2 linked regions of the Struthio camelus genome follow. The protein of the gene in region 2 purifies or fractionates together with the protein of the main gene of each other region. This does not show direct contact. Links are inferred from orthologs where the notes say so. Each region holds a gene or a part of one and is shown on either strand. Other genes may lie near its edges. The genes, in order: HADHB and GPC1.

Region 1 (15,552 bases), on a different chromosome or scaffold from region 2:
TTGAGAAATCAGTACACAGCTGAAGAGACCCCATTCTCAGAAACAAAGTTATTCCAATGTAGTGAAAACTTTGCTGCAGAAATAATCACAGCGCCTTTCAGTTGACAAAGCCTCCTCCTTCCTCATCACGCTGGGCAGAGATGAGAAGATTAGCTACTTAAAAATGCATAATCCTAAACAGAGATTAGGAAGCAAATACTGCACCCAGCTGAATTGGCAAGCAAGAGAGAATGTAGGCCAGGTTGGAGCCTTACCAGGTTCCCCACACTCATCCTTCTCACAAGAACCTTTAAAAGAAGTTGCTGGGATGTGAGGTTCATTTCAACTGAAAAGAAGCTATTTCCAGCCCGGATTCTGCCAACAGCATTTCTCTAGATCCAATGCCTGCTGGAAACAGCTTGTTTTCCCAGGAGTGCACTCACCTAAATATTAGCCTAGCACGCAGAGATTCATATTTGATTAGCTCTCTTTCAACAGCAGCAGAAAAATTAGCATGGCAGAGCCATGAAGCACAACCAACCCGTTAATTTGCCACAGATTCATTTGAATGGCTGTACAGAATCCACGCCAGGTCTCAGATCCTTCTCGCACCCTTTCAGGATAGTCCTGCGGGCATCATTCGGCTAGTTTGGAGAACTAGCGCTACCAACTCCCACTGCTGCTTGGCAGACCCCAAACTGTCCAGTACCTCCAGTCCTCCTCCCAGGCAGGAGCCACTGATGGCAGCAACTATGGGCTTTGAAGACCGCTCAATTTTTTCTAACATCTTCTGTCCTTCCTGAGAGAGCTGAGTCACTTCCTGAGAAGTCTTGCAGGCGCCAATCATGCTGCAGTGAGGCAGAAAGGCTGATCAGAATTGGAAAAGCGCTGAGAAAACAGCAGTAAAATGGAGAGTGCTTCAAGGATTTTATTCCCCTCTTCCCACAAAGCTCCAATGACTGACAGACAGGCAAGAGCTATTTAGTCCCACAGATTTAGATTAACAGAGAACACAGGAAGACTACTCAAATCAGTGGGTTAAGTCACTGCATACTGACACGGGACTGTGCCTGCAGGCAGTGAATGAGTCTCCTTGTGCCAGAGCTCTGAAAGCCTTTTGGGGAGAGAAGGAAGGGTCACAGGAAGCCTCAAAGCACTTGCCAGGAAGGGTGGAAGGGAGAGCCCAGGATCACATTTGAGAGAAGCAGATGGCCAGTGCTCTGACATTGCACTCCGCCAATTAGAGACTTTCCGAGCCAATTATTCTCACAGAGGCTAGCAGCGTTTGCCAGGCAGGCACTAATCAGCAGGCTTGCTGCACTGAGACCAGCCGAGACCTCTTAAACACAGCCTGTCCTTTTGTCCTGCTTACCAGCTAAAGCTACTGCCTCCTTCCCACCACAGGATAGATCAAGTCTCTGCTCCTGAATAAGGCTGGACAAAAAGGTAACAAGCTCTGGAAGGGCTGATATGCATTTACCTTCTCTGCTCAAAGCTTCCGGATTTTAATGTCTTTAAACAACTGTTCTGTCGTGCCCAATGCAGGACTGGCAATTGACGGCACTCCAGGCCCAGGTGAGAGCACTCATACAGGGCGTACTCGCACCCGACAAGAGTTACCCAGCCTGGGAAGCTGCTCAGATGCTCCATATGGCAGAGAGCCAAGACTGCCCAATCAAGGAGCTGTGCTGGCAGACTGCCAGACACTCAAGATCCAGCTCAAATGAAGTTCTGCATGTAAATTATCTGCTCTCGTTGTGCCCCAGACCAAAGCACAAGGCTTACCCCTGAGCCAGAAAGGGAATTTTCCTTGGCTGCACCCTGGCACGCAGGAAGGAGCGACCCAGTGCTAGAAGCAAATGGGGTTTAATGACTAGCCAGGTTCCTCTTTATCAAGGCCATAACTTCATTTCAGCAAGTCCCTGTCAAGTTATACATCCTGCGCACATGGATTTCATATTCATTCTCTACCTCACCCTTGGGGAGAGGTCAGTGACAAACTGCTCAGTCTTCACAGCACACCAGACCTTTTGCCCGAGATGCTGGACTTTAGAGAAAGCTCCATCAGCATAGTTTCTACTGCCACCCAAACTTACTCAAGATCTGCTCCAGCAATGAAAGAGCCTGGCTTTGAAGAGATGAGGACGGCACTTTTGACAGCTTCATTGGCCCAGACTTCATTCAATACATCACTCATCTCGGAGCTCAATTGTTTGGACAGAGTGTTCACCTGAAGGTAGCCAATACACATTGTAAATAGAGAGCCCACGAGACAGTGGAGTTAAACCTCTGATTAAGTGCTGGACTCAATCATCATATCATCGGAAAACTCTCACAGAAGAAAGACTGAGGAAAAAGCCAAAGCCAATGGTAAGTCTAAATGGATTTTCCAATCTGTCTGAAGGCAGTGGAAGCAGTAGCTCTATAGCCTTTTAAAATTTGCATTCTGGCACAATTCTAATGTTTCTGGGCACACAAATTGAGCCCAGCTTGGCTATAAAGTTCATTTCACCCTGTATCACAACACAGCCAGAAAGAAAACCCCAAGATGAAACCTTGCAGCAGGTTATCAAGTAATCTGCTCTTAAGAAGTTTCTTCTTCAGCCTCACCAATACATGTTTTAAGAGCTTCTAAGCTGTTTTGTTCAACAGAATGGACCCTCTCCTCAGCCACTTTGAATCGAGAACTTAATGTTCAGTGACACCTTGTGCTGGTGAGAGAGACAAGTCAATTTGGTACAAATAAAATATTTCCAGGGGGCACTTCCCAGTATGTTCTTTTATTATATGCCCCGATTCTCATTCTCAAATTTCCACTTTCAAATCTGACTGGCAGCAGGTTAGGAAAGTTCTTAGTCTTCAGTTACCAATTTTCAATGCCTTCTCTGTACTACCTGTATTCCTGCTCTTTCCTCTGATATGCCTATTAATCACAGTCAACAAAACCGCACCTTTGAATCTGGTGTGCTGAAACGTACAACAGCGACATCTCCTTTGATATCACAGCTAACGTGGGTTCTAGCTGGAAACAAACGGAAACACTTTATTAGCTTATGTTTAGTGGATTTTAGGAAAGAAAAATCAACTCACATACAAAAGCTTTACGCTTACCCTGAAGAACAGTGGAGGTGGAGATACCACGGCAAGCATAACCTAAGGAAGAGATGTTGCAGATGTTACAGGCATTCTCGGTAAGCTTTTAAGGTGATCTCAGCTCAGATCTTAATATACTCTCCCATCTTCCCTTATCTGCCGAGGCCGGTGTTTCAGAAAATCCTGAATACCGGCCAGTTCCTTCTGCTATGGCTCGACCTGTGCCACCACCAGAATTCAGTGGACTCCATGCTACTGAAGTGACATTGGCAGGACAGATCCCACACGGGACTTTCCAATAACAGGAATGCCAAACTGAGGGCAAAAATCAAAACCTTTTTACTAAAGAGCTGACAACAGATTAAGCAGGGGACCTACGGAGGGGTTTTGACATTAGGCGTGCACGGTTCAACACTTCTTCACATGCTAAATTAGAGAGACCTTACCACCCTTTGGACACTTTCAAGCCTGCGTATAAAGTTCTCCCCAGACTAAATAGAAATGTCCTAGAATATCTCTGCAAAAATGCACTACTATGCCTGTAAATGTTGGCATTCCAAGTGTTATTGCACAGATCACAGGAAACATAGCTGTTAAGCCACAAAGAAACAGCACACAATGTTTATTCTCTCCTCCACAATCTATCAAGGCAATGGTTGATCCATCTCTACAAATTACATACGCAAGTACCTAGACAAACTTGTCTTGTTTTGAAACTTGCTCTGAAAAAACAGCACGAGGGATGACCAAAATCTGTATAACAGTGAAATGCTACTTTACTCGCACAAATATCCCAGATTCCCCTTTCCTGCCAAGAATTTGTATTCTGCCTGATGATCTCTCACTACGCAAGCGAGTCTCAGTTCTGTTCAAACGACCTTGATCTTGACTGAGAGGATCACCCAACGCAGATCTAGGCTGAATCTCTGCCAAAGCTGTTTGAATTCTCAAAGTCTAAAAGTGTTACTTCTTAAGCAACGTACTGTACACCTACCAATTGGAACACAGCCATTTACTACGCAGCACTGGTAAAACGCTCGGGGCTGAAACAATCCCTGTCCCAGCAGCAAGAAGGCAGAAAACCCAGGAGAACGAAAACAACCTTAAAACCTTGGCCTGCACCTCGCAAACAGACACGCTTCCCTCCCCACAGCCCCGGGCCACGGGCTCGGGGCTAGAGCTCCTTTGCACTTTGACCCTCTTTCCACTTTGTCACAGGTGCTGGCACTGGGGAATGACCTTTGCGCTCCATTCCCCAAGCCCAGGACACCTGGCAGGATGCCACGGGCTGGGGATGGAAACTGTGTGTCAGTCCGTCTCAACAGACTTCTCTTTGATGGGAGCAGGGGGTCACGTACTTGCGATACCATTTTATAAACAAAGCGTGAACTGGTTTCCACTCCAAAGCGGCTTTAAAATATTTATGGGCCTGAACAAGGCCCAGACTGCAATTACTCAGGTCAACATTAATTTCCTTAGACTTTCTGTGCACTAAAGTCGGGTACTCCTGGAACGAAGCACCAGCTCTCATTTTCCACAAAACAGAGCATTGTCTGCCAACAGTTTCTCCACTGACGTACGCACCTCAGCAGAATCCGATGCACTTCATTGGGTTAAAATACCACAATTAGCAAGCCACCCACAGAATCACAGAATGGTGGAGGCTGGAAGGGACCTTCAGAGATCATCCAGTCCAACCCCCTGCTCAAGCAGGGTCACCTAGAGCAGGCTGCCCATCCAACTCCACTACATTAGCCAGGTGAGCACTGAACAATCCTACTGAACGTCTTCACTTTAATCCCTGTATTACTCCATAGTGACAGGCATGGCAGGAACGAGAATCAGATCAAACAAACATCCCAGCTGCAGATCAAGTGATAATGCTTTCCTCCCACACCCTCAGTCAGGCACCTCCTAAAGGTGGGGTGGGGGAAGGAAAATTTTCCAAGAAAATTTTAAACCTTGAATTCCACTTTACCTTTCAGTTTTAAAACAACAGATACAGAGCAGGAAAAAAAAATCATCAAGGGCAAGACAGAACAAACCTCACCGCGTTTCAATATAAGCTCTTTTGGGAAACGTACTGCTGTTAGAGTAACAGTTGCTTATTATTTGAGTGAGGTTTTTTTTTTTTAATTATAACTTTCTGTGTGTTTTTCTTGACAATATTTTATTTTAGGGTCCAGTATACTCTTGGAAAACAATTTCTACGTCTAAAATTAAAAGCACATTTATGCAGTCACAGTACAACTGCTTTAGGTTTTGATTTCATTCAGAAGGAGCTGTGATAACTTGCCAAGATTGAAGCCAGAAAAAACCTCTTCCAAATTCTGTAGGAATAACAGCAGGCCAGATGTACATTTCTGCCATTTTATTAATGTTCATTCTAGAACTAAAAGCCCTGAATATATATTCAATTTTCACTATTTCACATTCTTTGCTCTTTGGACAAATGAAAGACTGTCTGTACAAAGGAACACCAAACACTTCAGAAAATTGTTCTCAGGATTTAGCAGAGAGCTTCAGAAGCAAGCAGGGAATGGAAAAGCCCCCTTTCAAACAATCTGGCTGGGACCTGTTTCGTCCCACTTTCTCTTTCCTCTGTCACTTCCTTGGCTGCTTCCTTGTCCTGCACTTCCCCTTCCTGCCTTTCCATTCCCCCCGAAGCAGCACATCACTTGAAGGGGGAACATCGTCCATAGATGGTTCACGAGGAAAGGCTTCTTGTAGTCCTGGACTGGGCAAGCGCCAGCAGAACAGAAGAGCTGAAGCTCACGAAGACGGCTGTACCTGCGAGCTGATCGCACTGAGCACTGAACTGCGAGCCGCAAGACGGGAAACTTCCAACAAACTGAGCTATTTACTACCACCTCTGGGAACCTGTCAGCATATGGTATGATATATACATAATATACATATACATACGGAAGAGCAGGTAAGGCTAGCTCTTAAGCTTGCACGGCCTTCTGCCTACTTACTGCCTTTTGCAGTTCTTTTTTGGGCTGCCCGTGATAGATTCGCATCCGTTTTGGCAAATACGTTGTTACGGAAGAACAACACGTAGAAAGACTGCTATTAATTATGTCGCATGACGTGACATTAGCCACAGATAGATAGACAGATAGTCCTGACAGCGTTCCCGGAACAAAGTATTTGTAATGAAGAATATTGCCAGTTATAATGAGAAGCCCACAAGAGGCTGTTTAAGCAATCTCTGGAATTACTACCGATCTGCTCGTTATCAGTTGCAGTGCTCTGCTCTTCTAGCGATGAAGTCACATATAAACTTGCTCCAATCCTGCATGTAAAACAGGCATTAGGCTTAAATGAAACACTGCCTGACTTCAGCTCTACATTGACACCAGACCCTAAGGCCCTTCAAAGCAGAGAAATAAGAGCTTGTTTCTAATAAGTCTTAACCTTAGGCCCTCCCCAGGGGCACCTTGCAACTCCTTTCTTTGGTACCTCCGGGACAAAGCACCAAGACTCAGCCGCCAGCAGCCATCGCGCCCAAGCAGGAGGGGGCTCGGGCTCAGTCAGCAGATGGCAACGGAGCAGCGGTCGATGACCGGGACGCTTCTAAACGTGACCTAGACGCGGCCCAAAGACAGCTGGCGAGGCCCCTGCAGACACAGGCACGCATGGGGACGGTGCGTTCCCTCCGCCACGCAGGGACACGGGGGCCCCCTCCCCTCAGGGCCACGCGCACAGACCCCCAAGGACAGAGCTGTCCCCCGGGGGGGCACGCACGCACGGGCGGGGGCAGAACACCCCTTGCCGTGGGCACGCGTGGGAAACCGCTCCTGGGGGACAGCCGCAGGACACCCGCGCGCAAGGGCATGGGGACGCCCCCCCCCCCACCCCGCCACGCACGGATACTGGGGACACGCGCAGCGTGCCAGGACGCGAGCGCACACCCCCTCCCCGTAGGGTCAGCTCGCAGGGCTGCAGGGACCCTCTAGCCTAAAACGTGCCCGCGGGCGAGGACATGGGGACGCCGCCCCAGGGAGGCGCGTGGGAGCACGTCCCGCGTGGGGACACCAACACGTGCAGGCACACCGCTGTCCCCCAGGACGCCCGCGCACCTGGGGGATGGCGGGGGGACACCTGGACGCCCTCCCCCCCGGGCAGGTACCGGCTGTTGGGACACCAGCCGCCCCAGGGACACAGGCATACGGGGGCTGTCCCCTCCCTAGAGCCCCCCAGAAACACGAACACCCGTGGATGCCTCCTAAGAAGACCCCCCCCTTCCTCAGCGACACCTCCCAGTGACACCTAATCCCTCACAGTGACACATACATACATGAGCTCAGTAACCCCTGTCCCTCACCCCCCCCACCCCGGGGACACGCACGCGCGTGGGCACCCCCCCGGGGACACACACACGCGAGGCCCCACTTCCCGGTGCCCCCCCCCGTGCGTGGCCCCACCGCCAGGTGCTTTCCGTGCCCCCACAGCGCCCCTCAGTGACACGCACACGCGTGGGCACCGCCCCGGGAGGCCGCGCCTCCTCCTCCTCCCAACCGCCCGCTCGCTCGCTCCCGGCCCGGCGGCGGGGCCCCACGCTGCCGTCGCCGCAGCTCACCCGGGGGCCGCTGGCGGCGGGGCGGGCAGTGCTTGGCGGCGGCCATGAAGCGCCCCAGGCTGCCGATAGCGCGCACCGCGGCCGCCATCTTTGCTGCGCGCGAGGTCGAGTGAGGGAGAAGCGTCGCGGGCGCCGCCGGGGGCCTTCGGCGCTCCCTGTCCCTCCCTCCCTCCCGGCCCCGCCCCGCCCGCGCCTGCCCGCGCCGCCAACCGCTCCCCCTCCGCCGCCAACCGCTCCCGCCCTCCTCGCTCCACTCTTCTCCCCGCGGCGCCTCGACCGTCCCTCACCTCCTCCGAACGGGAGCGGGCGGGCGGAGCGGCGGGAAGGCGGACAGCCGGGCTGTCAGGGCTGCCGTGTCGGTCAGGCGCGCGTCGGGGCAGCCCGCGCGGGGCGGGGGGAGCGGGGTCCTTCCAGAGTGGCAGCGCGGTGGCGGCGGTGGTGGCAGGAGGGCGCAGGCGGCGGCGGCGGGGCCGGGTCGGGCCGGAGGTGCGCGGGCGACGGCGGCGACGGACCTCATGGGGCGGGGGGGGGACGCGGGACGGAAGTGGGGTTTGCGGGTGTGAGGCGTCCAGAGGTGTGTGAGAGACAGCGGCGTGTAGGTCGGTGTGGGGGTGTGTGTGGGGGGGGGAGTGTGTGTGGGGAGGTGTGTGTGTACGGGAGTGTGTGGGGGGGGTGTAGGGATGTGGGGTGTGTGGGGAGGGGAGTGTGTGGGGGGGGTGGGGGGGAGTGTGTGTAGGGGGGTGTGGGGGGGTGTAGGGATGTGGGGTGTGTGTGGAGGGGAGTGTGTGGGGGGGTGTGGGGAGGTGTGTGCGGAGGGGGGTGTGGGGGGGTGTAGGGATGTGGGGTGTGTGTGGAGGAGAGTGTGTGGGGGGTGTGTGTGGGGTGTGTGGGGGGTGTGGGGAGGTGTGTGTGTAGGGGGGTGTGGGGGGTGTAGGGATGTGGGGAGTGTGTGGAGGGGAGTGTGTGGGGGGGTGTGGGGAGGTGTGTGCGGAGGGGGGTGTGGGGGGGTGTAGGGATGTGGGGTGTGTGTGGAGGGGAGTGTGTGGGGGGGGTGTGGGGAGGTGTGTGCGGAGGGGGGTGTGGGGGGGTGTAGGGATGTGGGGTGTGTGTGGAGGGGAGTGTGTGGGGGGGGTGTGGGGAGGTGTGTGCGGAGGGGGGTGTGGGGGGGTGTAGGGATGTGGGGTGTGTGTGGAGGGGAGTGTGTGGGGGGGGTGTGGGGAGGTGTGTGCGGAGGGGGGTGTGGGGGGGTGTAGGGATGTGGGGTGTGTGTGGAGGAGAGTGTGTGGGGGGTGTGTGTGGGGTGTGTGGGGGGGAGTGTGTGGGGGGGGTGTGGGGAGGTGTGTGTGTAGGGGGGTGTAGGGATGAGGGGAGTGTGTGTGGGGGGGTGTGGGGGGGAGTGTGTGGGGGGTGTGTGGGGGGTGTAGGGGGTCTGTGTGGAGGGGAGTGTGTGTGGGGGGTGTGGGGATGTGGGGGGGAGTGTGGGGGGTGTGGGGATGTGGGGGGGTGTGTAGGGGTGTGGGGGGTGTAGGTGTGGGGGGAGTGTGTGTGGGATATGGGGGGTGCGTGTAGGGGTGGGTGTGTAGGGGGGTGTGGGGGTGTGTGGGGTGTGTGCGTAGGGGGTGTGGGGATGCGTGTAGGGGTGTGGGCAGGTATGGGGAGTATGAGGGTGTGTGTGGGGGGGTGTGAGGGGGTGTGTGTGGGTGTGTGGACATGCATGTGCGCCCGTGGTGTTTGTGAAGGGGTGTTTGTCACGCGCCAGGGCTGTGGGGTGTGAGTCGTGGGTGTGTAGTGCGGGGGGGGGGGGGCGGTGTTAAGCGTTAAAAGCGTGGCAGGATGAGGCGCGTCTTATCCGGAGGCAGCTGAAGAGCAGGAGCAGCAGGGGCCGGTTTGGCCCTCCGCAGGAAGAAGCGCGGCTGGGGGTTTGTCCGCAGGGAAGCCTTGCGGTCCCGCTGCGGAACGAGCACGGAGAAAGCCGCTGGGGGAAGCTTTTGGGGTGGCGGTGGCCAGCTCGTTCTGCTTCCCGTGGGGATACGCCACGAAAGTCACTGAGCTCAGAGTCAGCAGTTGAAATTCAGGGCAGCGGCACGAGGTTGCGCCAAGGAGCGCGCGTTAGGAGAGTCATGCTGGCGGGGAGATTGGCTGGGCTCTGGGACAATTTTCCAGCGGGGAAGTGGTGGAACGGGTATTGCGAGGGGAATCTAAAACTGTGCTGGCTGCTGCGCTGCTGATAGTGATAGTACAGTGCTGGGTCATCAGCGAGATGACTGCTTATTTACAGCAATGTTTGCAAGCCGCAGTCATAAGTCAGACTTCTCACGTGCTAGATGCTGTTCAGAAAGTACAACAGAATGTAATTCCCTGTGCTGCTGCACTTGACTGCCCTTGATGTGTCTTCTCTTCCTCTGCTTTTTTGGCTCTGTGTGAATCAAGCAGTATGCTTACCTTGAAATTGTTCTGAATAAGCCAGATTGGACTAATAGCAGTCTTTCTTCACCTCTCTAGACCTCAAGATGACTTCCATGCTGACCCATATCATCAGAAACCTCCCTGCTTCCTCAGCATGGGCTGCCAGGGTCTGTAAGTATCTTTATGTTCATTAGAGACTTGAACTGGTAGGTCATAAAGTTCTCTTTGTTTTAAGCATTACGTTTGGCAGGGACACTTTTGTCTGAATCTCTGTTACGTTATGGTTTTTTTTTTTTTTTAAACAACTAATTCTGTTGTTGACGTATTTGTTGTTTCCCAGATCTCCCAATATGGGAGGAATCTCATGTTAACTGGTAATATGTACTATGTTGTTTTTATGAACACAGTAACTTAAAAAAAAAACCTTGCAGATATTCAGGTGCACTTGTATTGGAACTTCTTTTTTTTTAACGTTTCTTACAAAAATAAATAGAAATGTTTTTATAATTATAATTTGATAAATGCTCCTTTTGTGGTTCTTGTTTTTCAGCTGCAAGATCACTCAGCTGCTCTTCACAGTTACAGGCAGCAGGTAAAGTGAAAGCTTCAGTGGGTTTCTATTAGAGACTATTTTTGAAGCTGCCTCCCTTTTCCAGATACTCATTCTACATAGATCTCAGAAACACAAGGCAGACTTCGTTAATTCTAGAGGGCCCTTCTAAAGTTGCAAAAAAGTAAAGCTACAGGCAAAACAGTGTTTCCAATAAAGAGTCCTCTAAACATCTGAATCTCCCTCACCCCCAACAACTGTGCCTGGTCTGAAGCTCGTGCCACATTGTCACCTGATAGATTGCTATTTCTAGGATCCTAGACAGAGAGGCTAAGCTAGGAGGTTATAAGCTGTCTGGTTATAACCAAGTCTCTTGCCCGGGAGGGGTGGAGGTTGCCCCTGACTAAGAGAGGCTTGTGGAATTAGCTCAAAGGTCCAGTAAGACCTATGAGAGGCTCAGGTCTCAGTAGAGCGGCTTAGTGTGCACAATTACATTGATTGTTAGATGTGTGTGTTTTTAAGCCGTTTGGGTAGTGTGGGGTTCTGGGATGTGTTCTGGGGTCACTCAGGTGACTGTGATGCTTTGAGCTGCCTGGATTGCAAAAAGACAGCAGCCCCCGCTTGTCTCCTTAGCTTCATCTGGAGAACCCTCTTATATGACTCAAGTTTAGTGCTGGAGTTTCATACTTGTGCTTTCACTTGCTTGAGCACAGTATTTAGCTGGATTTAATCTGCTTTTACATGCCTTTTCCTTTTCTGGCTTGTAAATGCAGCTGCCTCATGCTGCTGTGTCTGCTGGTTAAGAATTGTAAACCTGACTGCATTAGGAAATTCTCATTGAGCTCCTTGTTAATCATCTCTCTAGAACAGCACTGACAGTGGTGTATTAAATGATGCTGTATCATGGCGTTGCTTTGTCTCAAACCTGAGATACTCCCAGGCATTATGAGGGAGTAGCAAGCTACCCACAACAGCTTTGTGCCCTCTTTTTGCTAGTACTTTCCTATGGAAGTGAAAGTTAGTTGACTTCTTGCACTGTGTTTTTATTTACTCTGAATTATCTCACCTTTGCTGTGCAATAGGAGCACATAAGTGAGCAATTGCTATGGAAGGTGGATTGTTTCCAGTCCTTGTTGCTTCCCGAGTGAAAGACTTTGAGGTCTTACCCTGGTTGCTCGTCTTTGAATTTGGTCCGCCTCATTTATATCCTAAGTCATTCAGCATTCTTGGAGGTGTCTTTTCCTGCGATATTTTTGTCAGTAGTAATGGAGTTTGAGGATTATGTTCCTTTATTCTGAGCTGTGCCATTGCCTCGATATAGCTATGGATGAATCTCTCTGCTGATGAGGGAAGCTGAAATTCTGTGTTGTTAAACCATTTTTCACAAACGGCATGCTCAACCAGACAGGGACAAGATTTTGCCTCGCATCTCCTACCTACTCTACTTTTGTCTTATGCACCAAAGGGGACTCTTTCCTGAGTTTTCTAGTAGCTCTAACAGGATCTGGCTTTAAGCTTGCTCATATTCTTGGCAATAATTACTTAAACTTCTCTCTAAGCAGTCCAGCCGAAGAGTAAGAAGACATTAGCCAAAAGTGGCGTGAAGAATATTGTTGTGGTAGAGGGTGTCCGTATTCCATTTTTGCAGTCTGGCACCTCGTAAGTATAAAATAATAAGAAAATACTTTGACTGGGTTAATAGTAGAATCTTTTGGTGGAAAATGTGGAATATGGTTTGCTATGTTGATTTCAATATAGTTACTTTTGTACATAAAAATACTAAGATGGCAAAGTTAGGCTGCTGACAGTTTTTCCAGCTTATATTATGAAAAAACGTGGCTTGAAGAAGATTGGCCATGAATATGAATTCAAAGGAGAATGCAGATTTGTGCTGCACATCTGGAGGAGCCCATTGATGCCCCTGTAGCAGATAAAGCAAAGCGTTTCACAAAACTAGCAGGACAGGGGCGGAGAATCTGCTGCAGACTCTTCTTATTAGACTATTATACCACCAAAATCACAGCTAAATTAGGACCAGAAGGAATATCTTTATTCTATTACTGTTGCTTTTCAGTGCTTTAGTATAGTGAACGTATGCTGACTTACACCTAGATAGTCTTTGTAACCGCAGCTATGAAATGTTTGCTTATGAATGCACTGTCCCTGTGATTCAGAGCATTTCTGGTGTCTTCACCAGTTCTGTGCTGCTGGTGTGCACTTACAGTGAAGAAGACGCCTGCGTTGGTTTCTGACACTAAGTTTCTGCCTCTCTCCTTGAACTTCCAGGTATGCGGATCTTATGCCACATGACTTAGCCAGAGCAGCATTGCAGTAAGTAAATGGACTGTCAGAAGAGCCCAAAAAATTGTCTTCTGCTGGACTCCAGGGTGCTGGTACAGTGACTTCAGCTAAGCTGAGAGCCAAGGTTCTAGTTTTGTTGCTAAACAATACGATCCAAGTGATTCATTTTTCGTGGTCTGCCACTGCCTTAGTAGGGGGTTCAATCAGTAGAGCGTACAATAGACTCGTGCAAAAGAGTATTGTTAAAAGGAGATTGCATTGTTGTGTTGTTTGACTTAATTTCACTTGATTTGGATTCTGACTGTGTATGGTTTTCTAATACAGAGGTCATAGCTACTATCTCAGTGTGCCTAAAGTTCAAGACAGAGACATCTAAGTGACATGGTGATTCAAAGACAACTAAGTGAGACGGAGAGTAACAAGCTAATTCTGTTGTCTTGCACGTTGCTTCCATCCTGCTGTGATTTGACAAGAGCTGTAGGTCACTAGCCGTGTTTTTTTAATTAAGAAACAGGGCAAAAACAGGACATGCTGTCGAGAAGAGTACTGTTGACAAGGCATGACTTGGGGGGCATGGAGATTTCAAGTCACAAGGAAGGATTGTGAGGTGTGGGGTTGGGTGCAGTCGTGCCAAATCTGAATGTCATCTTTGGGGAGCCAGAGGAAGGCCAATTAGGTTGACATGCAGTGTGTCAAGTGTGTGAGGGCTGTGCCACAGAGATTGAAGGCTGAGGTGGTTTTAGTGCACTGCTGGAGAGGAGGTCTTTATTGAGATGTTTTTACTTTTGTTTGGTGTTTTTGTAATGCATGAAACTACATTTGAATCGCACTAGCCTTAATGAATACCCCCAATGGGATTTGCTGTCTTAGCGTATTTGCCAAGATGTTTTGGCAAATGGTGTGATATGTTTTCTAATGAACTGTGAAAACTTAACTGCTCATTTTCTGTGTGTCTTTATGAGACTAATACATGTTCCTACACCGAAGGTAATCGGCTTTGTTATCCCTAAGCCCTTATTCCTTTAATTTTGATATCAGAATGCTCTGAGTTAGGGAAGGTATTAACAGCCGCTTCTCTGAGGAAAGAAGAGTAACTGCTTTCATGAAACTATCTGTGTAGTCATTTATATAGTGATATTATTGCTATGATTATTTGCAGTCTATAGTCATTTGCATCTTTCATCAAGTATATGTGCGTGAAAGATTTCTTCTGAATTAGGGATACAACACGTAGCTCTGTTGTTGCCTTGGTTCTCTGGCCCAGCTGGTAGAAGATGGATGTTTGAAAACCGTGGTGAGGTTATTGCTTACCTGGTACGAATTCTGTTTGTTTCTCTCTTCTCAGAGGGTTGTTGAATCGGACCAGTGTCCCAAAAGATGCTGTTGATTACATTGTTTACGGCACAGTTATCCAGGAAGTGAAAACAAGTAATGTTGCCAGAGAGGTGGGTTATGTGCAGCATTTCTCCTGTAAGCCTGATTTAAGCAGCTAGCATAAAGATAACAAAACCTTATGAAAGATAATCTATTTTTGCAGTTCGTTTAAACATGGTTTGGGAATATAAGCTAGTTGAGCAGTAGTATTGTCCATAAAATAGCTGTGTGGGACTCTGCCTCCTCTTGAAATCTACCAGAGATTAAGTTTATTTTGATGCTGTGAAGCTTGATTCTTCCCTTAAAGGGGAGCTTTTATTAATGATTAGCAAACATTGTTAATGATTGCTGATCACTCAACTCTTACTGCCGGTTGGACTTGAATGCTGGCTTGCCAGAAGTACTTGAGAGGATCCGAGCATGCTGTGATACGTTTCTATATTGTGGTATTTATTTATTTTAGTTGGCTGATCAAATGCAGCGTTTGAATGATTTGAAACGTAGTCGCTTGGCTGCCCTTTCTTCTGGCAGGCAAAAAACCACAGTTCATATCTTGCACAGAGAAAGAACCTGCTCCGCTAAAGTAATGTTATGGAGATGACATGTGATTTTTCTGTAGTCTGAAGCCTTTCCTGATATTCCTTGCAACCACCCAAAAGTGTTACGAGCATTACGTAACCCGTCGTGGAAAGACTTACGAGGTGATCAGTAACTCCAATTCCGTTGGCAGCTTTATCCTTGTATGTGCAAATACTTGCTTTGGTCACATGCCAGTCAGATGAAGCTGTGGTTTAATTTTAACCTGGGAAGAACTGTTGAACTTTAAACTAGTTGGCCATGTCTCAACTAGGGAAGGTCCTCCTGCAGGCAGTTCTCCTGTGATGGGAGCCTGTGCTCTCAGCTGGGTCAAATGACACACTTCTTTCTGGCGAGTTTGAACTACAGGAAGTGTTTTCTGTTCTGTTCAGAGCAAGTCACAGTGCCTTGTACTCAGAGGTCTATCTAAATAATTCTTTTCGTGTGCTGCCTTTGCAAATAAGGGGAAGCAAGAACAATGTGTGTTTGAAAGCTCTTTTTGGAATCGTGATGTGTGTAATTAATTTGTCCCTTTATTAATGGGAAAGGCTGGTGGTTGTCCCCAGAACTTGCTTGAGAGCCTGGACAGGTGGGCAGCTGCCCTCTCCTCCTGTTTCTGGAGTGCATCCGGGGAGGGGGGGATGCAATAATTGGTTGGATGGAAACTTGATGCACTTGTTTTCAGCTT
Region 2 (15,129 bases):
TTAGACTCCGTGGAGTGTACTTAAGAACAGGTCAGAGCAAAGGGCCGTCTCTGACAACAGCCATTAGCCTTGGCGTGTAGCAGTGCTTCGCGACATAAAGCCTCTGAGCTCCCGGCGGTCTGCACCTTGCGCTCGCTCCAGCCAGCTGTGATATCTGTGCTAATAGTTATGAAAAATTCCCATTGATGTTAGGGGGAATTTTGCCTGAGAAAAGAGATTACAGCCATCCCTACTGAGCTAACAAATAACTTTGCACAGTTTTTCTCTGCATTTGACCAGCTCCAATTTTGCTTTTCTTGTACAAAAGCAACCATTAAAATGATGGCATCAAAAAATGAATTAAAATGCCAAACCTGCCAAGCTCACATGAACAGAATGTTTTATCAAAACCCATAAACGGAGAGAAAGAGGACTTGTTCCCATGGACTGCGCTGTGTCTCTCGAGGACCAAGGAGCACATTTATTAGACTACTTTTTGGAGGGAAGGATTTTCAGCTCCTTCTCAGTTTTTGAACAGTTCATTTCACAAAACATTAGGAAGGAAAGATTTGGGGAAAACTCTATTTCTCTGCCTTAAAATTGAGTTACGTGCAGGGTGTTCACCAGCCCATTTTTCTTGTTTGTGTGAATGAGACATTTGCGAGTTGTGGGAAGTGAGTGATGGGAGGAGGGAGGAAGTTGTCTGAGCCTGCATAAGGAGCTTAGGTAGTATAGTGTTAGAGCGGATAAGGACTTGGAGACTCTGCTGTCCTCTGATACCCCAGAGGGCCATTGTGGACACCCTGCACAGTGCTTTTACCCTGAGATCAGGCAAGTCAACGGCAGCCAGTCATGGGGCAACTTTTGTCTGCCTTTAAGAGGTAGGAGTAACAGCAGCCCTAAGTGAACAACTTAGGGCCCATAGCATTTGTGGAGACCTGCAGGCTCATCAACACTCATCTGCATAGCTGAGGGTCGGGGGAGTGAAAACGGAGAATTTTTGGAATTATTTTCATGATGGATGCTGGGTGAGCCAGGGTGGCTTTGGGATTATTTTTCTGCTGAACTCTTCATCCAAGTAACTAACTGAAAAAACCCTGAATTGGGGGGGGGGGGGAGCTTCCAAAGCTTCTCTGGCTTCCAAAGAAATGGCATTACAGAATTCTTGATGGAAAAAGAGTGAATACTTAAGGATGTTATAGCGGAAGGCAGGGTAAATTTTTACAGGCGAGTATCCCATGAGCTTCTCAAGGAAGGTGTTTGGGTGTTTGAAGAGTCAGGAGAGGGGCAGCTGGGCAGCGGTGGCAAACGGTGCTGTGCTCTGATGCTGCATCCAAGCAGTGGGCTGAACTGATGCACTGGCATCCGGGTCGCATCTTGCTCGGCTAAGCAAAGGCACACAGTTGCCCAGTTGTGTTTTTGCATACGCCCAGAAGGTCCCATCAGTCAGTTTGCTTTACAGGTGCCTTACACTTGGTTACTTTGGAGTTTATCAACCCTGTTAAGCTTGACAAAAACGAAAGCACAGAAATAGAGATATACTTGTGAAATACTTAATATTAAGAAAGTTTGAGAGGATAGCTTGGCTCAAGTACAGTTTTTCACTGCAGTAGCTCGTCTTTGTTTGCGTAAGCGCTGAAGGCACGAATGGTGAAAGAATAATTTCTTCTCTTGCCGATTGCACGTTCCGTTAGGCAGCCACTTGACCTCTTTCAGTTTGAGGGCTGCAGGTATGAAGGCTCTCTGTGCCTAATTGCTTTGGTTTAATAATAAGTTATTGTTCTAAGGACGTGTGGTTTATGTATACTGCATCAACAAATAGTATTTGTTAGCTGCTACTGCCCTGGAAGGAAAAGGAAACACAACGCATTCGGCTGCTTGTGTTTTTGTAAATCCCACATCAGCATTTTCAGGTTCCTTGATAAAGGAAAGGAGGCTCTCTTCAGCTTGGACTCTGAAAGATCATCTCTATCAGAGTGAATTTGTTTTCAGAGACGCTTAATATTGGGAGGAAACTGTAATAGTGTCTCTTCGGAAAACAAACAGGCAAACAACAGGAATACTTTGTGGGTTAGCAGTCATGGAAAGGAGTCAAACCCAGAAAATCTGGCTCCGATTTTAGTCTCAATTCTGAATCTGTGTTAAAATCTGTTCAGGGCACAAAAACATCAGTCTAGATAATGCTGTGGAAGTAAAGTTGTTATAAGCTTTTCTCTCCCCCTCTTCTCCTTTAGCTCTAGCAAGGAAAAATCAGGAAGTTAAGAAAGGGAAAAGAACAGTGTGGACAGAGCAGCACACAACAGCCACAAATAATCCAATATTTCATAATTTAATTTCACACTCCCTAGGCTGCAGAGGCATTACGGACTGCGGGGAGAATAATCTTAAGAAGGGCGTTGGCTTGGCAATGGGAACATCAGAGCTTACAGAGGTCTGGCAGCTTTCTCAAAGTAAATGTGTGTCCCTCCCTCTCCCTGTCCCTTCCGTATAGATTAAAGTGACCTCTGGAGATAAACTGTACTGAACCGCCCCAAGTGGTTCCGCAGTGTAGCTTTTATTTGTACAGTATGTGAAAGAAGAGTTCAAATTAAATTCCTGGCCTTTCAGAAAAGTTTGTCTGTTCCTTAAAAAAAAAAAAAGAAAGAAAAAAGGCTATTTTATTTTAAAGTCGGAGCTTCTTTCATGGTCCCATGATCTCATGAGCTCTTCGGCTGGCCTGTGACCTTTCAACCTTGCACTACATGTTTCTTTTCTAAATTAGCCAGCGTTGAGACCTCAATGGGGGAATATCGATGTTGTTATAAAAGGCATCGTTCTCTCCCAAAAATGTCAGCATGAGTGAGTCATTGCACCTAACTGCTTAGCTTTTGTAAGGCAGCAAGGAAGATTTGAAAGTGAGATGCAGGATCCCCCGTCCACCGACTTCTATTTAAAGTGCTTTAAAAAGCAACGTCCCTGGCATCGACCACAATAGAGGCAAAGGATCTCAGCTTTGCCCCTTTAGCCACGGAATAACGGTCCTGCCTGAGGCACAATTATGTATGCGATATAAAATTACATGGATACTGCGAACAACTTATTCTCAAGGCTATACTCAAAAGTAACACTGTAAGAAAAAAAAAAAAAAAAGTAAGACAGAATTAAGTGTGCTGGTGATTTCTGTCGTTTCTTACACCCAGGCTCCGTACATCTCCTTGTATTCATGCTCTCTGGTTTCTAGCAGGTTGAAGAAATGAAATCAGATTAAGAGCTCTATTTTTAATCTTCAGAACATGGGTGTGTGTCATCTGGCATCTCGGAAAATCCAGTACTGGATGTTTATGTGGTCCTGACAAAAGAAACTGTACACAGAGCGATACTAAGATCGCAAGCAGATGTTGGATTGTAAAGGCGCCAAATCCTCGACCGGGATAAATCAGTGTATCTTCACTGACATCGGACTATCTTCTGAAGGCTTGGCCTTCAAGCACCCTAAAATTCATGTAGCCATAGTGGATGCGTACACTGTATTTGTGTTGCAAAATGCATAGATCTTAAAATGAAAAACACGCTGGACCAGATCCATTCCAGATGTCACTTTACTTGTGTGCAGCATTGCATCAGAAGTAAAGCTGGCACACATCAAAAAATCTGTGTCACCTGGTAATTATCTTATTAACAACTCAGAGAAAAAGGCATGGGAAGGATGCGTTTCCAAACTCAAATTCAGTTTTTATCGTTTCTGTGTGAAACGCTGTCGAACATTTGCTGTTAGCTGTCCTTCCCGCTCACTGGGGTTTAACCCCAGCTTGCCCGTGCTGCTGGCTGACACCCCTTCGCAGCATCGCCAAAGTCCGTTGTGCAAAGCCCGGGAGCGCGAGAGCCTCTCCTTGCAACTAAAGGCGTTCGGTGCTTTTCAGCACCACAGAATGGGTGTTTCCTCATAGCCAATTTCTCTGTGAAAACAGCCTATGTTATATGTAACTGGATGTGAGGGAAAAAGTAAACACTTGAGCAGGACGTAAGATAATTCTGTTAATTCATTAAAGCGCTTTATGTAGTGTTTAATGTAGCATCAGCTGAGGATAACGCGTCGGCTCGAGGACGCTCTGTTAGCATTGCAGAACGGCTGGATTGCTGCACCACACATCTCTTTCTTTGTGGCTGTAGCTTTTTTTTTCCGCACTGAAGTGCACAGGATGCCTGACCCAGGTCCATATGCCTTGGACCAGTGCTTAGGTGCTGCTGCACTCGTAGGCGCGGAGTTTGCTCCTGCGGGCGCTTTTCTTAAGCCAGTGCCCAGCGACCAATGACAGACTGAGGGGAGATTTCTACTTCATAAAACCCTTTCAAAAACAGCCAAGCTCTGGACATAACCCTCTGAACGATAAGAGGAAGTGGTCCCAACTGTGGTTTTTGCAAGCAGGGGGAGAAATCTGTGTATCACTGTAGTGGCATGCTGAAAACACACATTTCTAACCTAGTAATTTTAGAGCCAGTTCTGAGCCATTTCATATATCAAGCTAAGCCCTGCTTTTATAAAACAGATTCAATACTGTGTCTGTATTCTTCATTCACTGTTACAAACTTGTTGGGGAGCTGGGAGTCAGGAAAGCTTTATTGAAAGTCATGTCCAAAAAGGATGAAATATATTTCCTGGGGCAGACCCAATTAGCAGCAGTTTCTCTAATGAGTTTTTGGCATATATTTATTTTTTGGCCTTTAAGACTGCTTTCTACTGGGAAATCTCTGAGGCACGTATGACACAAGCACGGTCCTACAGGGTGGAGTCGTTGGTAAGAGGTCATTACAGCCATGCATTCCTTTAAGTCACTGCTGGAAAAGTGGGTCGTTCAACCCGAAGCAGAGCACAGAGGGGCAATTAGCCAGATTCTCTGCCTGAAATTATTTGGTGGTTGATAATCTCACCCTACAGAGTACTAACCACACACGCTGGAATTAAGCATTGCATTTAAAGGGAGCTGGTCTGCTCGAATCGAGGGTCCAGCAGCAGCTAGGCTGAGCGTTGGTGTACCCTGCTGCAGCCCCCGTCCTCTTTTCCTCTTCCGCCGTGGCCAGAATTACGAATTTTCTTGCGCCGAGGTCTGACTTCTGGCTTGCTGGGAGCTCCGGTGCTGGGAAGGGTCCCCAGCTCTGTACATCTGTGGAACCATAGTCCTCATTAATTAGCACAGATACACAAATCCCAGCAAGTCTTAGCGCTTCGGTAGAGCAAATGGCTTCTCACGTAGTCAGCTGAGATCAAGCTGGATTTGTCAGTTGTACGTAGGTGACCCAGCAATTTAAAAGGATAGATTTCATATTTTTCTGTGACCAGAGCAATCACGTACGCTCTTCCTGCGCGTGTCCGAAAAGCTTCGGAGGGGTTTGTGTGCAGGAGGGGAGGAGGAGCTGCATGGGTCCCAGTGAGGACGATCCAGTGAAGAAGTCAGCAGCTGCAGATAGCAAGGTGTAATCTAGTAAATCCTCTGGATAACCTAATTAGATTTGATTCAGCAAAGCGCGTGTCCAGCTTGTGCTGAACAGCAGCCAGCCTGGGGGTGGGAGGAGCAGGGGGAGAGCTTGCCTGAACTCCTGCAGGAGCCGGATAGAGCAAGGATGAAAAGAAACAGGCAGAAGAGGTACTGATCTGCTCCTGCTTTGATGAAGGCTTTTAATCTCGAGGTGCCAGATTTTCTGAGGCTTCTGCAGAGTCAAATGTGGCATAAAACCGACTCAGGGAGAGGGGCTGAGGGTTTCATCGTGCAACACCCGCAAGGGAGAGAGAGGAAGCTATAGGCCGCGTAAGCTTTTCCCGGTTCCTTTCCTTTCGCCCTCCCCACTTCCTGTCAGCTCTGTATTTGATACACAATGAAAAAAGTAGACGGGGTCTGCCTACCGATTCAACAGGGTATTTGGGGTTTTGCTGCTCTGCTTTTGTGGTCAGACACTCGGTGGTTGTAGCTCAGCGCAGGTCCGTCATGGAGCCAGCTGGAGCTCTGGGGGATGCGATTGCTTTGCTGCCCCTGCAGCGCTTGATCTGCATTAGTTTGAAAAGAGCATGTCCATGGCGCTGTGAAACTTTCGGAAGTGCTGGAGAAAGAGAAGACGGACGAGAACCTGTGGAAGTCGAGACACTACAAAGCCTCCGCTCATTTATTTTTGAAAGGGTAACTTTCCCGGCTTGTGCCAGGTGATTTGGCTCCTCTTCATCATTCTTACCTCTTTGTAATGCTTGGATCAGCTTTTCAGCAGGCAGCACTTTTTGTCGGGGGCTGACAAGAGGTGATCGCCCCAGCAGGATGGATTTTCTGTCTGCCTCTGACTACCCTCCTGGCTGGCTGTGTGCTTTTCTCCTCTGCATTTTGTCTACTCAGCTTGTGCTTTACTTTGTTCTTTCTTTTCTGCCCCAATTCTAGCTCTTTCTGTGAGGTGCCGGACAAGCTTGCGTTCGCTTTTTGCCAAGCTCCGTTCTTTAAATTGAGCGTGTTCAGAAAGTGGATCTGATCTTCAAACGCACACGAAAGAAATGCGGTTTATAATGCACATAAAAACACATTTTCATCATGACGCTTGGAAGGTGTTGATTTCAGTTTGCTTAAAATGTACCCAGCCCAAATCCTGGGTATGCACACACGCCTTGCCAGCGACAGCAGCACACGCAGTCATGCCTCAGGACAGGCTGAAGATTTGCTTGCTTACGATTGTATCCTATAGAGACGCACAGATAGCTGCTGTGTCACACAGCTCATATCGATTATTTTTAAGCTGTCTTCTCATTATATATAATATGCTATATCTAATAAGTTTGTCATTATGATAGTATGCAAACACCTCACAGGCATGGGGTTGGGTAAGAAACACTGTTATCCCCATTCAGCAGGAAAGTCATGTGCTGAAGGTCACTTAATCAAGGAAATTCGTGGTACCTGCAGCTCTGCTTCTTGAGACGGGTTTGGCAACCAGCGGTGCAGTCTGCACTGGTGATTCGTACCCCAGTGCTTCCCCATGGACACAACAGGGTGACTCTGAACGAGCAGAGCGTGTGCTGCCGGCTCTCTGGATTTTATCAGGAATGACCTGACTTTAGTGTCTGTGCTACAGGCAGTGTTGTCCCCCAGCTCGGGGGAGCGAGATGTGTATGAACAAAGAAGATACTTTTGTCCGTAAAATGATCTATAGCTCAGGGGATGGTTCGCAAGGCCAAAAGCCGAGGGTTTCAGTCCCAGTTCTTCCCGTGTCAGCTGCCAACATGTCCGGGCACTCGCCAGCTGTGCGGTCGCGGAGGGCTTTGTTGTGCTGCGAGCTTGGGCACAGCCACGCCGCACTCCCACAAGGTGCTATCAGGCAGAGCCGGGGGCGAGCCCTGGGTGCACCGCAGAGGCAAGGATCCTACCTTGGGCGCGCAGGAGGAAAAGGGAAAATTAGGTACTGCTTGGGCTCCTGTGTCATCTTCCAGAGCAAATAAGAGGTTTGTGACTCTGCCTTTCTGCTCTTTTAAGTGCTCCGGCTCGGCAGTTTGCATTCGTGGAGTTCATTCCCCTCACCAGACCCGAGCAAGAGCGGTATTAGCTCTGTGCTGTAACTGTTTGACTTTCCCTCTGGAACCAGGAGGAGAAACCACGATCCTGGTGTTTCTGTACTCCTAGCAGTATGTATCCTTGCATGGATTCCGCCAATTTTCTGCTGGTTTTCCGCTGTTACTGTAGTGGGTTGAGTAGATGAGAGCTGTGACGTAGCTCTGTAAGGGCTGTATTCAAAGCCTGGGGTAGGGAAAGAGCTCTGACCATAAAATTACAATAAATAACCAGGAATAAGGGCTGAAATAAACTTGTTCCTCGTAATGAACTTAGAAACCTGTTAATATGCGCGGTACTCATGCACTTAGAAAAGAGAGGGTGGGTCAGACTTTACGTCCATCTGTGGCAGATTTTCCCACGTGTTTCCAGAAACAAGACCTTTTTTCCATGCTCTGGAAACCCCCCCGAGGAAGCTTCAAGCTCAGGCACAGCGAGTTGGGGGGAACTGAAAGCCTTGGTGCTAATGAAGTGGGCGACTGGGCTGTCAGTCGCCTCCGTGGGGTTCCTAACCTGTGCATCACTGATACACCTCTGATCAGCCCAGATGTCACTGTGGTCCAAATGGCCAGCTGCCCTGGCACTGGCACTGGCACACGCCATCGGTGCCCTGCACTAGACCGTGGATTTGTTTTTAGGTAGGGCCCTCATAACAGGACCCTCTTAACTCCACGGCCCAACAACGTCTCGCTCAGTGTCAACTCACTATTCTCAGTAAAGTTTCGGAGGGACTTGCAGACTGCTGTGTAGAAGCTGGGGGGAGCTAGCAAACCTGTATCGTGTGCGTGCTGAGGCTGGGCAAGGCTTGGGCATGGACATCCAGAGCCTCGAAGCCCCGTGTGATCTGTAGAAGATGATTTGGGAGATAGCACAGGCTCATATGACTCAGACTTTTTACAGTTTTAGCTACAGTGACATGTCATTTGAGCTCCTGTGATCTCTGTTAGAGAATTTTCCCTCTTTGCAGTCAGGTCCTCTTCATCTCTTAGGTTGCGTCTCATGGGTGACTTAATTAGGAAAAGTTCATAGGAAATCATTAGGCAATTTCACAGGAAAGGAACATCTTTCCTCTTCTCTCCTGCCATCCTTGCCCTCCCCGGGGCTGTTATTTTGCTGTCACTTCTTTCTCCTTCCTCGTTCCTCAGGAGAGCAAGCAGTCCCTGAAGCAGCAAGACGAGCGACCCGGCTTTCCTACGGATTTGCGCACGTCTGAGTGACTTGCCCGAAAGATGCAGTCTCCCATAGAATTTGCTGTTTCGGGGACCCTGCTGTACCTGGGGTGGGGCTTTCTGTGGGGCTTCTCTGATGTCTAGCAGGGTGCAAGCTCACCCAGGAGCCTCGGCCGGGGCGAGCGTGGGCCCTCCATCCGTCGGCAAGCGTCCTCGTTCCTGGCCACGAGCTGGTGGGCTCGCTCGTGGGAGCCCTCCGGAGGTGACCCGCCACGCGGGCGATGCTCGCGGGGACGCGCCGTGCCCGCAGGGGGACGACTCGGCCAGGGCCGCCCCTCTCGGCCCGCACGCGTCTCCGCGGGGCGGGGCGGGGCGGGGCGGACGCTCACCGAGGTCCCCAGGAGCTCCGCTGCTTCCCGCCGAATCACCGTCAAACAACCCAGCAAGCGGCGGCGGGGCGGGGCGGGGCGGGGGCTGCGCCCCGCGCGGGATTGGCGCGGGCGCCGTGATGCCACGTCCGGCGGGGGAAGCCCTGCCTCGCCCCGCGCCCCCGCGCCCCCGCCCGCCCGGCGCGCAGGTGGTGCCGAGCCGCCGCCGCCGCCGCCGCCGCCGCGCACGCCCCGCCCCGCCCCGCCCCGCCCCGCCCGCCCCGGCCCGGCGGCTCGGCAGCCGGCAGCGTCGCGGCGGGGCTGCCCGGGGCATGCAGCCGCGCTAGGAACAAAAGCGCTTCCGCGGGCCGAGAGCGCGGCGGCACTCGCCTGCCCGCCCCGTCCCTGCCGCTGCCGCCGCGCTGCCCGGGCAGCGGCCCCCGCCGCCGCGGGACCTTGGCGTTGCCCTTCGCGCGGCAGGTGGCGGGCAGCGCAGAAGGATGCGTTTCCTCCCGTGGGGACTGTGGCTGCTGTGTGTCGCCTCGCCCCCGGCCCGCGCGGACAGCGGCGGCAAGGCGAGGAGCTGCGCCGAGGTGCGGCAGCTGTATGGGGCCAAGGGCTTCGGGCTCAGCGGCGTGCCCCAGGCCGAGATCTCCGGTGAGTGGCGGGGGCCGGGGCCGGGGCCGGGGCGGGCAGCGCTCGGCGCCGCCGGGGCTCGGGGCATTGTCTGCGCCGGGCGCCGCCGTCCTGCTCCGAGGCTCCTGCTCGGGGGACGGGGGCGAGTGGAGCGGCGCGGGCAGCCTCGGGGCTGGCAGGCGCTGCAAGGCGAGCAGTGGTGGAGGAGGCATGGGTTTGGGGTTTGGGGTTTCTCCTCTCTTCTCACTCTTCTCTTTGCATGGGAGGCAAACCCTGGCACGGTGTTTTTGGCAGTTAGGAATGAAGCGGGGGGGGGGGGAAACGAGCCTGGGTCAGGTGTGTAATGTGTGGAAGGAACCTGGGCAGCCCGTGCCACCACGCGTCCTCTCGCCTTCGCCCACGGAGGGAGAGCGCGCTCTATTTTCTGACAAACAGTAGTAGACTTCCTTTGTCCAAAACCTCTGGAATATCAAAAGAATATCAAGGTCTAGTTCACAGGGTTGTTTTTTTTTTTTTCTTTCCTACAAGCCTGGGGAAAATATGCTATTTTTTATCTTCTTCTTTATTCTTGTCTAAGTTTTGATACACCGACTTGTGACCCATATCTGAGAGCTTTTGCCTCGCTTGTGGGAGCTTCCTCCTCCAGACAAAGCATGAAACATGCAGGCGTACGTGCCAAAGCCAACCTACAGGGACATCCCAGGAAAAATTGCGGTTCGTAGCTCGCATCTGAGCTACAGAATGCCTTATGCTGAATATCTCACAGGGTAGTTTTCCAGGGAAAGCAATTCGTCGTCTGACCCATGAATGGAAAAGACTGAACCGAATAAACGTCTTATAAATGTGAACAAATTAATACTTTCTTTGTCAAGTTGCAACCAAGAGTGAATTTCCAAAATCAAATGAGCAGTCCTTGAAGTTGAACAGTAGAGAATTTTGAAATCATCAGAACATCACTACTAATAGAATAATGATTCGGTTAAGCAAGAAGGTGGCTTTTTATAAATTTGCCTCTAATTATTACAAATGTGAATACATCAGCAGTCATGTGTTTCAGCTAGAAAGTACTGAGAAGACTACATGTTTATGGGTATTAATGGCGGTGGATCAGGTATTGCGTGGAGCAGTAGTACTACAGGAGCAGTTGTGTAGGATCGCGTGAACTGCATACTACAAGTATGGGGTAGCTGTTGCAGGTTATCTGCGAGTAAAACATCTTTTGCCTGCAGATTGCTCAGATGCAATAAGAGGTAACTGCGAACGTCAAGGTTTTGAGGAGCCGCAAGTCTTGTTTCCGAAGTGCTACTAGTGTGTATGTTGGCGGCCTTAAGCTAGGGGTAGTGAAAACTATAGTATCAAGCTGGGCATCTTTCACACTGTAAGCAGGGGGGAAACTGCCTGGATACGTGTTATAAAAACGTGAGGAATACCACATGGAAAATGCTTGAGGGAGAAGTTTCCACATTTGAAAAATGTGCTGCTGGAAATATTACACACTTGGTATTTGAAACAGCTAACAGACTTAGATTTTTGTTGGTAATTATCACGTGAAACTTCTAACTGATAAGTATTTGGGAATGCCCTTTTCTATTGCTGTAGCACTTATCCCATACGGGGAAAACTGCATGTTGATCGATACGCTTTATTATGGAAAATTTCTGAGGCTGACAGTAAAGGGTGGTGTTGTCAGGTGTACTTGCTAGCTGTTGTGCAGGTTAGAGCAGAAGTCAATGCTAGTTTCCGTGTCCCCCAAAGGGAGGCTCTCAAGACCTTCCTGCAGAATTCCCCCCTCACAAGTACAATATTGCACAGTATTGTAATTTTCAGCGTGCTTTTGAGATGTTCAGCCATCGCTTAAAAGCTAGTTTCAGCGGATTTAGTTAAGCGTGCTGACTGTGGGAGCTGTAACCTGTGTGATGGGAGTCTTGTCAGATTAGATGGGATTGGCGCCTATAAACGTCTACGTATCCACCAACAACAATTTTTGATTAAGTTTAAAAAAAACGCTGAGGATGCTGGTTCAGGGCTGGACCTGTGCTGGGGTCTCCTGAAGCTGGTCATCCCCCTGCGGCCGGTGGAGGTGCGAGCCGCCCCAAGTGCCTCCAGCTTTTGTGTCTTATTTTGAGCCCTCTGGAGGCAGCACCCCTTCACGTTCGTCCTCTCCGTGAGGATCTTGGTCTTCCCATTGCTGGTGACGGACGTCCTTTGAGTCCTGGGGCTATGCTCCAAGAGTGCTGTTGTGCTCCCACGGTGGCTCTGGGTGCTGCCAGGAGGGAGCAGCCAGCTCATGGGCCTGGCGTCTGGACCTCTTCCCCCCCCTTCAAAAAAACATGTCCTCCGCTCTAGTAGCATGGGCTCTGATGCACCCCGAAACGGCTGTGTGTGTTGGGTTTCGCACGTTTACAGCACACACTGCACCTTCTGATCTGTGTTCTTTGTTACGATTTAAGAGGATTATGACTAATATAAAGTCTCCACAGCTCAGCAGAAGGTGGCGGCTGCTTCTGACTGCTCAGCTGGGTTAGATCAGCAGTCGCGCGGTTCCTGTTATTAGCTGGCAAGGAGATAGGGATCTGATGCAGGGATAAACTCTCAGCCCGTCAGATTGCTCAAGAAACACCAAGAAAGGGGTTCCTGGTTTTCTTGCTGATGTTTGTACGGTGCCTATAACACGTTGGAGCACTCTAGATGTGTGAGTAGCTGTTATTAAATGGGGTTAGGGAAAACGCAAGGTGTTATATCTCGTCCCGTTGAAGTCAATGGGAAAATTCCCAAACACGAAAGCAGCATCTGCTCACGTTAGTAATCCCGACAAGCACGTGCACACTTGGCTTCATAGGTGAAGGTCTGCCAAGAGGAAAGTTTCAAATGCTGACGGAGATACTCCCTACCCTTTGGGTATGGGAAAATGATGGCCTTGGCTTCCTTAAGACGTACCGAGTTGAGCAAAGGGTTCCTGTGTGTTAGGGAGTGCTGCAGCTTCTGGTTGGATGACCCTCTTCCCCTTTCTGTGATCCCATACAAAATATGGGATCCCTTGTGGAGGGGGAAAAAAGAGTGAAGCTCCTGCAGAAAACATTGTGCTTCACGGGGACACGTCCAGGTTTGTCCACTGGCCGGACGGCGTGGCTTGGGATGACTGACATCCGATGGGTGACCCCTCCCAGCGGCTTGAGCAGAGATGGTTTCCTCGCTTGCTGGAGGAGGCTTGTGAGTTCTGCTTGCCATGGCTAGGCTTGGAACTTGCTTGCCGTCTAGGCTAGGCTTCTGCTTGTTTATCTCCAAGGTGTAACCTTCCTTGACTGGCTTCCTCTCTGGCTTGACATGGGAGATGGGCGTAACGCAGGAGAAGCAGAGCAGGGCGCAGAGTAAAGGCAGCCGGACTTTGCCGGGCAGTGTCACTGCTCATCTGGTTGCCTGTGTCAAGCACGTGCTTTGCTGGCTGCTTAGCTGAAAGGAATCAGAACCGTTTGTTTTCATCTCCCAGTCCTTTTGGGCTACCTAACCCTGCTTTGTAAGGGAAACGTTGTCAAGGGCGTGTATTAAATAGTCGTTGGAGAAGAGCTAGCCGGGGAAAGAGCAGGCCTGGCAATTTCGCCTTGGTAGAGAGCTGGACTTGGTGAGGCTCTCGGAGTCCAGACAGGGTAATGAAACCCAATTTTGGAGGGCGTTTTAAGTTCCAGCAGTTGCAGTGTACAAGGCGTAAATACAAAGATGGGCAAAACTGCATCGGTGGTCTTAAAAAGAAGAATCTGGGGCTCCTTATCTCCCTGGGACAGATCTTTACTGCTTGAGTTAAAGGGGAGCCTCCGTTGCTCCAGCACTCTTGGAGGTTGTTGTTGTATTTGGTTTGTAACTACGAAATGCAGATGTGATTTCTCAAGGGCAGCTAGATGGTGAACTCCTGAATGCAATATCAACCTGTTTATGCTGATGAATTTAAGGGCAAATTGGAGTGTCCTTTGTAGCCTGCTTGGTTTAGAGGGCCATTTTTAATGAAACCAAGCACGTTGACTGGTGCCTCTTCTCCGTCTGGCAAGTATATTGGTGCAAATGCTAGAGTAGGCCTTGCTTGAACTGTATCTCTCCATATCAGCTTAAATTAAAATCTGTATTCATATAAATATGCATATTTTACACATTGTGATTGTTCTCTTATTTTCTGAATGCAAAACGTGCACATAAAACAATTATGAACATTTCATTTATGGAGAAAAATGGGCTCCCTCTAGTGGTTAATTACAGGACCTACTTGTAGACTTGGATGAGCATCTATCCTGGTGGACTGAGTGCTTCTCTAATTTGTTTTGAAATCTGGAAAGCTCTATACTTAGCTGTTCTTTGGGTTTTGGCTTTCTGGAGTTTTTGTTGTTGTTTAGAGAATCTGTCTTTCTGTCACTGTGATACGGATGACTAAGCTCTCACCACATAATTATCCTTATCAGCTGTGTCTGACAAAACTATTTCAACAGCTTCTTTTGTTGGTGAAGCAAAACATGATTAAGCCCGATATTTTCTCTTCCTGAAAAATTTGCATTTGCGCGTAGCTGGAGACCTCCCTGCCATTTGAAGCTCTGGAGCTCACCTCGCCTCACCTTTTTGTGTTACTGCCCTCCAACTGCCCTGCTTTGTGTAACAGCAAAGGCCAGCCTCTAGGTCAGCCTCTAGGTCAGCCTCTAGGTAGGCAGGAGGTGTCTGATGGGAGCTGTGGGGCTTTTGGCAGGGACCACCAAACAGTTGGTTTAATGTTCTGTTGCTTTCACTACAATTATCTCCCATGGCTGGGACTGGATAGATGGGTGCCTCTGGGTAATTTCAGTAATTAAGTGGGCTTTGACGACTTCTCCAAAAGGGGGAGCGGGGAGGTGAGCTGCAAACTCGGTCATCAAAAGCGTGTATTTGGAGCGGGAAGTTTTATTTTGCTCGCAAGTGGAGAGCGTGGAGCACCTGCCCACTGGCATGGGGTCTGTCCCCACCTGCTGCTGGCTGTTGGGCTCGTGGGGTGGGTGTGAATGGCTTCTATTGCAGTGTCCTATTGCGATAGGCACAGTATAGCAAGTAGTAAAAGCTCGGCGAAAGGGAGGCCACCATTGCGGAGAGCCTCTGGTCTGAGGATCGGTCCCGACCCTGCTGTCCGCTGCAGCCTCTGCGCTGTGGGGCTGGGGCCAGTGCCACGGTTTCAGTCTCTGATGGTGTTGCTGGGGGTCAGGCGTTACCGTGCTGCCGGCTCAGGTGTGGGTGGTGTGAAGTGAGCAACAGGGTAGGAGGGAGGGGGACTGGCAGTTGTTGATGTGGGGACAGCATTTGTATCAACTTTTAGCACTGACCTGGAAAAACTGGCTGGGGATTTTGAGGAAAATGAGGGAAGTAGACATGCCAGTTGTGTGCAGATCTGCAGGCTTCTTAGGAAAACTGGCTTGA

The links.
Region 1: the proteins of GPC1 (region 2) and HADHB purify together in Homo sapiens (co-immunoprecipitation; 3 studies listed by BioGRID and IntAct, counting the BioPlex papers as one, with this or other methods). This does not show direct contact. The link is inferred for Struthio camelus from reciprocal best matches to the Homo sapiens genes GPC1 and HADHB.

Annotation. Positions count from the first base shown.
Region 1 is NC_090944.1:1,810,792-1,826,343, forward strand, and holds the start of HADHB (trifunctional enzyme subunit beta, mitochondrial), read left to right. Parts: upstream 1-7,754; 5' UTR 7,755-8,016; intron 8,017-8,021; exon of another isoform or gene 8,022-8,256; intron 8,257-9,474; exon of another isoform or gene 9,475-9,576; intron 9,577-10,159; 5' UTR 10,160-10,167; coding exon 10,168-10,234; intron 10,235-10,613; coding exon 10,614-10,655; intron 10,656-12,172; coding exon 12,173-12,272; intron 12,273-12,899; coding exon 12,900-12,944; intron 12,945-14,259; coding exon 14,260-14,359; intron 14,360-15,552. Other genes in the region: HADHA (trifunctional enzyme subunit alpha, mitochondrial), read right to left, coding at 689-827, 2,076-2,209, 2,931-3,001, 3,091-3,132, 7,658-7,745. UniProt on the Homo sapiens protein: Mitochondrial trifunctional enzyme catalyzes the last three of the four reactions of the mitochondrial beta-oxidation pathway.
Region 2 is NC_090950.1:8,216,022-8,231,150, reverse strand, and holds the start of GPC1 (glypican-1), read left to right. Parts: upstream 1-9,336; 5' UTR 9,337-9,572; coding exon 9,573-9,729; intron 9,730-15,129. UniProt on the Homo sapiens protein: Cell surface proteoglycan that bears heparan sulfate. Binds, via the heparan sulfate side chains, alpha-4 (V) collagen and participates in Schwann cell myelination.